Linked DNA regions of Ovis aries. The protein of the gene in region 1 interacts with the protein of each later gene in a biochemical or structural test. Links are inferred from orthologs where the notes say so. Each region holds a gene or a part of one and is shown on either strand. Other genes may lie near its edges.

Region 1 (3,512 bases):
AAAAGGGAACTGGCTGGAGCTCTGCTGTAGTCAGTACTTGCAGGTCTTTGCCCATTAAACATATTTAATATGTGTGAGCAACGACTTACTGACTTGCCTGTAGCTATGGAATTAAAAGTCAAGGGAAAGGGAGGAAAAAAGTAATCTAGATAAATGACTTTATTCCCTCAGGTGACATCCAGTCAGAGCAGATCCTCGGCACTGTGCAAGTTTTAACAGAATTGTGTATGGTGAACAGAGAGGTAACATGACTTATATTCGGCTAAACTACATGCCTCTTCACTTAGACTCGGTCTCTCTAAGGCAGATCTAAAGAGAATTCACTCAGCTGCACGAAATCCATTTGACGTGAAGGGGTTCAAACTCAGAGGCCTATGAAGTGTCAGTCGCTGAAGATTAGGTCTGAGTGCCCCGCTCTCACTTTCCACCCCACAAACAGAGGAGGCATTAACTTGATCACTGACCTGCGGGCATCAAAGGAAGAGAGGAAGGGGTAGGGATTGGGGAGAAAAACCCACATAGTTTCTTCTATGCAATTATTGAAAAAAAAAAATTGTGCTGAAACTTAAAGAAATGAAGCATAGAGAGCTGACTGTCTGACAGATTTATCTCTTCCAAGGAAAGAGCCAACACAAATGTATGTGCACCTTTACCAAGAATAATCCTCAGCAAAGTGATTAGTCTGGAACTTTAATTTACTACTCATAAGGAAAAATAGAAATAAACTGGCTTAAAAATAGTCCAGCTGAAGGTTTCTGAAAGCCACAATTTTAAAATGAATTGACCAGCAAAGATTAAAAAAGCGTTCACTTCGTGATTGCAATTTGTTATTGGTCTAAGAGCCTATTTCAGCAGTAAATGAAATAAATTTCACCTCTGCCACCCACAGCTCACACTGTTGGAACAACAGGACTGAGTGTTAATGCATGAAGCTCAGAATGCAGCCAGTCTGTCCACCGAGGACCCAGGAGAGATTCATTCAACAGAAATTGGCTGAGGGCCTGACTATGCGTCGGTCCAGCTCTGTTCCAGGAGCTGTGGACTTACTAGTGAGTGAGAGCCAAGATCCCTGAACTCATACAGCTTCGAAGAGACACAGTTAGTATCTAACTAGTATGTCAGATAAGGACAAGAAGACACAGGATAGGCACAGAGAGGGGCAGAGTTACAAAAAGAAGAGAGGTAAGCTGCCAGTAGATGTGAGAAGGTCTCAAAGAAGTTTCATCTGTTTTTGCCCAGGCAGTAGCCTGGGGCTTAGTTTTCTATGTGATCCTGGATGCTTCAACCCTACAGTAGTTTGCGTGAAATTTCTAGGAGCCCTGCCAGGGGAGAATATATACAGCCTCTGTCTAATCTCTACACTCAATCACCTTGTCCCTTGAAACAGTCTCCCAGGCCCCCTCTGGCATCTGTGCATTGCTTCCTGACTTCTGATGGACAATGCCAGGTTCCCCACCTCCACCCCGTTAGATCACTAGCTGCGACCTTAGTTAACTCACTGACAACTGGTGGGACGCTCAGGATCCTCACCTCTAAAATGAAGGGGCAGCAGAAATTGTTCTTTCAAGTCTTTTCTAACTGTAAAACCTAGTGACTCTGTAAATTAAAATTTAATCATCTTTTCTTCTATTTTTGAATTTTAAGAAGTAGGAAAGAAAGTACCAATAAGTTGTTGTTTGATCTCCGAAGCAGGTTACTAACACCAACTTGACTCTGGAAATAATACAGGAGACTTTCAACTTAAAATCTTGGTGAGAGGGAATGATAACACCTGTTGGGATAATATTGTGAACCTTCTGTGTCTGAACCATATGGAGAAGGAAGCATCTTACCTGTAGGGACATCTCAATCAACATTAGTAACTTCTTGATTCCTATCCAGACCTTCTTCCCTTTGACTTGCTGTGTAATTGTGGTGCGTTCTTCATCCTTGAAATTGCCCAACAGCTACAAAAACAATAAAAGTAAGGAAAGCATTATATAAGGACATCAACAACATTAATTTCCACATTTACCCTTGAAAGAATAGTGATAAGAACTACCTGACTGGTTCAAGCTGATAGAATTCTCTCATATTTTAAAATCCAACTTGACTTTTCTGAATCCATTAACTGCAATTATGAAAATGAAAACTGGAATCTTAAACCCTATTTTCTTATGAACCTTCAGTATAATTTAGAGATATGTTTGCTGGGGGAAAAATAGCTCCAATCCATAATAAATATCAGTTAAAATTTTTAACATTCCATTCTAAGAATAATCTGTATATGTCAAAGCAGACTAAATTTAATTCTCTCACTCAACCTCGGCACAAAAACTGCTCAGACAGGTAAGCTGGAAACATTTATCATATAGCTTCTATTTTGTTGGGAGTATGCCCAACTGTACAGGTCTTGAGGATTTTAAGAAGCCTTCCTGACTCTATCGCTGCTGAACAAGTAACTAAATAATCTTTCTTAACACTTCATCAAGTCATTTGTGAACACCAATATTAGTCAAAAGTTTAATAAAGGATATATATTTTTTTAAAAATTAAAGATTATGTCATCCTCAAAAAAGAAAACATTTTCATATTATGAGCTTGTTAATAAAAGATTCCTTTAAGGCTTTAGTTATTGCTCAAATTGATTAACTGCAAGTAAATGGACTGAACGCTAGTATGAAGAACTGAGTTTTCTATATGTTATTCTACTTCCCTCCGCCCACCAAAGCTTCTGGCCCATGTAATCTATATGCATTAGTCGTGCTGGGCACACAGTAATTCATTCCTGGCAGTTTGCATGCTGCTTCCACTGAGGAATGAAGAATTACTTCACTCTCACTTGCATTTCTCTCTTTTTCCTCCAATTCCTGAAAGTGACTGGAGGTGTATCCTGGGTTCCCTGTTCTGTGTTAACACAGAAACTAAACACCAGGTGTGATGCCTGGGGCACCCGTAGCTCCTTTCTTTGGGCAGTGTGCACTCTCCTCCCTCATCCTTACCTCCAGAGCCTCCAGCAGCTGCTCCCCTGTGGCGATGTTGGGCACGTGGATGGTGGTGCTGAAGGCGTTAAGCATTTCCATCTCCTGAAGGACATCTTTGCGGCTTGTGGTCCCAATGATAAGAAGCTTGCGACCCTGATCATAGGGAAAAAAGGTATTAAAACACAAAGGAAAGAACTCATTAGGAAACTAGACTAAGCCTGAACAACACCCATTTATTTAATTGCAGAAATGCAAATGCTTAGACAAAATAGAAGGAAAAAATTCAAAACTATCTTCTTGAAAATCTTCTTTTTGGCCACATCACACGGCATGTGGGATCTTAAGTTTCCTGTCCTGCAGTGGAAGTGGGGAATCTTAACCGCTGGACTGCTAGGGAAGTCTCTTGAAAAATCATTTAAAAATGTTATCAACGACATGATTCAGAAAGAGCAACACTTTCTTCAGCATGCGGTTCAGAAAGAAGCAGCTGTCCTTTCTCCTCATCCACATCAGTAACATCCTGGGTCAGTAAATCAGGAAGATATACAA
Region 2 (4,042 bases), on another chromosome or scaffold:
AGTGTCCTAGAACCAGCCTTTTATCCAAGGAGCTCTCGTTCCTTTTGTTGGAGAACAAAGAGTATTAAAAACTAAGATCTGGGCGCTAGATATAATTGAACCTAAATTTTTAACAGTTTCACTAGCTTTTTTTTTTTTTAAATGAAACCAGCGTTAGACAACCTCTGCTCCCCTCTGCATACCTCTAAGACATTGCAGGTTCAGTTCATAAATAAAGCCAGACACATGACTTTCCCTTTGTTTCCCAGTGCATGTAAGTTATGTTTACACTATGTGTGTATGTGTGTCAGTCGCTCAGTTGCATCCGACTCTTTGAGACCCCCATGAACTTTAGCCGGGCAGGCTCCTCTGTCCAAGTAACTCACCAGGAAAGACTACTTCAGTCTATTAAGGGTGCAGCAGCATTATTTTAGAAATGTATAATTTAAAAATATTTTATTGCAAAAAAATGCTAATCATTATCTGAGCCAGTCTTAATAATAACATCAAAGGTCACCAATCACAGGTCATCCTAACAAGAGTAACAAAAAACTTTAAAATATTGTGAGAATTATTAAACGTGGCATTGAGACACTAAATGAGCCAATGCTGTTTGGGAAACCGCACAGCTCTGAGAGAACTGCTTAATGCAGGATTGCCACAAACCTTCAATTTGTTTTTTTTTAAAGTGTATCTTGGAAGGGCAAGAAAGCAAAGCACAATAAAATGAGATATGCAGCCTTCTCTGGTCTTCCCAAACCAATTTCAGCATAGGTCGACAGAGGGCGCAACAAAACGGAGACCGCTTTCCTTCTTACCCACGGACGCCTTTCCAAGTGAAAGAGACCTTCAGGAGGTAATGAGAGGAGGCGGGGACTAAGCTCTGCGCAAAAGAGCTGTCAAACCCAGTCTTCCGGCATGGAGCTATCACGTGACGATTAGGGATCAGCTGACTAGGGTCTAAATTCCGCAGGGAAGTCAGACGGAGCCAAAGGCTGAAGTTGATTGGTGGAGCAGGAACAAGCCCAGGAGGCGGGTCCTTGGCGCTGAGGGCTACGATTGGCTTGTGCGGAATCACGTGGGTTATCAACCAGCGCACCAGGCACCCTAAGACAGATACATGCGCATGCGTTAAAAATTGGATCGCTGATTGGAGGCCGTGAATCACGGGGCGGCGTGCCTCGGCTGGAGAGGGCGTGGTCTGCGGTGCGCACGCCGCGCTACGAGGCCGTTGGTTGGCCAGCTCGAATCACGTGGTTCCTGGCCGCAGGAGGCGCGCGCCGGTGCGACGTCAACGCAGCCCACTAAGCTCCCCCGACCTGTCTCCTGCGACCCGGTCGTATCTGAGTTCTCCGAGGGCAGGGCTCCGGCGGTTTGCTGAGTACTTTTGCGGCCGCTATGGACAACTCCGGGAAGGAGGCGGAGGCGATGGCGCTGCTGGCCGAGGCGGAGCGCAAAGTGAAGAACTCGCAGTCTTTCTTCTCGGGCCTCTTTGGGTAAGAACCGCGCGCAGGGGTCGGCCGGGACCTCGGCTGAGAGGACGGAGGAGTCATGCTCTGGGGCGGCGGTAGAGGCGAAGGGCTCGAGCCTAGAGGACGCGGGGGTTTGCGGGCTTACGGGCATGGTCTGAGGCAGCAGAGGGTACAAGCCATGGCCGGGACGCCGGACTGTGGCACTGACAGCGTGATTCGAGGAAAGACTGTCCGAGACTGTGGCAGGGCCGTGGGCTGAGGACACCCGGGCCGAGGCGAAACCATCTGGAGGCAGGAAGGGGCCCCAGGCTGGAGACGGGCCAAAGGGCCAGGGGAATACGGCCTCAGGCCTTGAAGGGAATGTGGCCTGCGGGGACCGAGGGAGCCTGGAGGGAAGCCAGGCTAGGAAGCCTTTTGGAGCTCAAGGAGAGCCTGTTTGAAAGATCCCAGACGGGAGTCTTGGGCCCTGAGACTGAGGACTTATGCCTGAGGGCGTCCCTTTTCCGAGACCTGGGGTGATGGACTTACGTGAACTCTGGCCCGGGCGTCAGGGCTAAGATGATCCTACGATTGATGGACCCAGTCTGAATTGCGTGAAGTGTCTCAGGTGAATATGGCCCAGGTCACAGGTGACTAGTGTAAAGAGACCTGACTGCCAAGTGAGATCTGAACAGAGGAAGCTCTGGGGTGATGGAGTGAAGGCCGAAGAGGGCTGGGAGGCTGGAAACTAAGTGGGAGTGAAGCTTGGTTTAGGAACTGGTGGGATAAAAATGAAAGATGAGGGAGATAAGAAAACCTAAGGGGCCGGAGGCCTGCTGTGTGATCTTTGAGTAAAGATGGGGCATGCAGTGTGAGCAGAATGAGACTGGCATGCCCAGGTTAGGGCTGAAGGGGGCTGGGAAACAGAATCAACACCTAATGCTTGTGGCAGACATTTCACATGAGTTCATGTTGGCTCATAAGAGTTGTTCTGATGACTGTCGTTTGAGGAATTTTAGTGGCTGAGGAGGATCAAAAGCTCAGGTCAGAAGCCTAGGCTCTGCCATTTCTTGACCTTGGGCAAGCTGTTTAACTTCCCTTATTATGGGGAAGTGGTGTCTCAGAGAAACCTGTCTCAGGCATTTGCCACTAGTATTGAAGTAGGGCACGCGTAAAGGGTGTAGAATTGAGCCTGGGACGTGGTTATCACTCTGAAAGTGTTAGCTACCATCAGTGTCATTTCCGGGAAAGAAACAGGTATGGAGCCTGTTCGGGACTGATGGGGATCAAGGTGGGGGTTTGATGGGCGGGACTGATGGGGATCAAGGTGGGGGTTTGATGGGAGAAGTGGGAGGGGGGCTGTCAGAGCAGGGAGAGGCGATGTGATGAGTAAGGAGTTGAAAGGGGTTGGGGAAGGAATTCGGGCCATGGGGACTTGATAGGGTTAGGGGAAGGGGCTTGAGACCTCCGGTGGAGAGAGAGCCAGGGAGGACTGAGGAACGTTGTGTTGCTCTTGAAACTGGGAGGAGAGCTGCAGGGGAACAGGCGGGTGTGTAGAGAGTTAGGAGGAACTGTGAGGAGGGGCCATGGAACCTGGCAGCAGAGAGGCCAAGGCTGGGGACGGGGTTTGCGGGGGAAGACTGGGGCTTTAGGAGAGACGGTGTTAGGAGGTTGGTAAGAAATGAGGAGGAGGGTTCTTCCCCGGAGAGGAGATGGGAACCGCTCATTGTTACAAGTGGTGGATAATGTTTACTTATCCACCGCAAGAACTTGAGTAACCTGGCTGAGACCTCGCTAGTGTGGAAAAACATCCGGGGCTGATGGACTGTATTGATTAGGTGAGGAATGTTTTCTTTCAGAGGCTGAGAGTAGGGAGAGCGTGTCTGTGTTTCTGCTTCCTTCACAAGGGGAGAAACTCAAGTGCAGTGCTTTGTGGTGGGGCCAAGAGCTTAGTTTTCAGTCAGGTCATGGTTTTACTGGGTGGCTTTTGGTGTCTGGTCCCTGGGGATTAGTGTACTGTTGGGCCATGCTTGGAAGGAGCAGCCAAGTCAGGGCCTGAAACACTTTGTCACCTGGCTGGGAAGGCAAGATGAAGACTTGCTAACACACTAGTAAAGCAGAATTGTCACATGTGATTAAGGGCTGCATTTTATCATTGGTGGGAGGTTCCTGACCTGAGAGGAAGCTGCATGAGCTTAAGGAACTCCTTGGTGAGGAATGAGCTGGGCCCCTGGGAACCCTGGGACATGCCACAGGAGTGGGGACTGGAGAGGGTGTTCCAGGCAATGGGAATTGTCTGAACAGAGGTCTAGGGTGAGGGGAGGTTTGTCCAGAAATGATGGGGAACTGAGATCCAGAGAGACCAGGGCTGGCTCCCTGTGGGGAGAAGCCTCCACCTGGGAGGATGAGCAGGAGTTCCGGGGGTGCTCTCTGGTGGGAGAGCACAGCTCCCAACAGAGGAGGCAGCTTGAGCAAGGCCCAGATGTGTGAAGGCCAGCGTCTGAAGGTTTACTGCAGGGGGTTCTGCGTCAGCCCGTAAAGGTAGAACAGGCAGAAGGGGATGAGACTAAAGAACCAGGCCCCATCCCAGAGGGCTTTTTGAGAAAAGGCTT

Evidence for each region.
Region 2: the proteins of NSF (region 1) and NAPA form a complex in vitro, tested with the Homo sapiens proteins (2 studies listed by BioGRID). The link is inferred for Ovis aries from reciprocal best matches to the Homo sapiens genes NSF and NAPA.

Annotation. Positions count from the first base shown.
Region 1 is NC_056064.1:45,177,797-45,181,308, forward strand, and holds part of NSF (vesicle-fusing ATPase), read right to left. Parts: intron 3,117-3,512; coding exon 2,982-3,116; intron 1,947-2,981; coding exon 1,611-1,946; 3' UTR 1-1,610.
Region 2 is NC_056067.1:54,244,462-54,248,503, reverse strand, and holds the start of NAPA (alpha-soluble NSF attachment protein), read left to right. Parts: upstream 1-1,230; 5' UTR 1,231-1,377; coding exon 1,378-1,475; intron 1,476-4,042. UniProt on the Homo sapiens protein: Required for vesicular transport between the endoplasmic reticulum and the Golgi apparatus. Together with GNA12 promotes CDH5 localization to plasma membrane.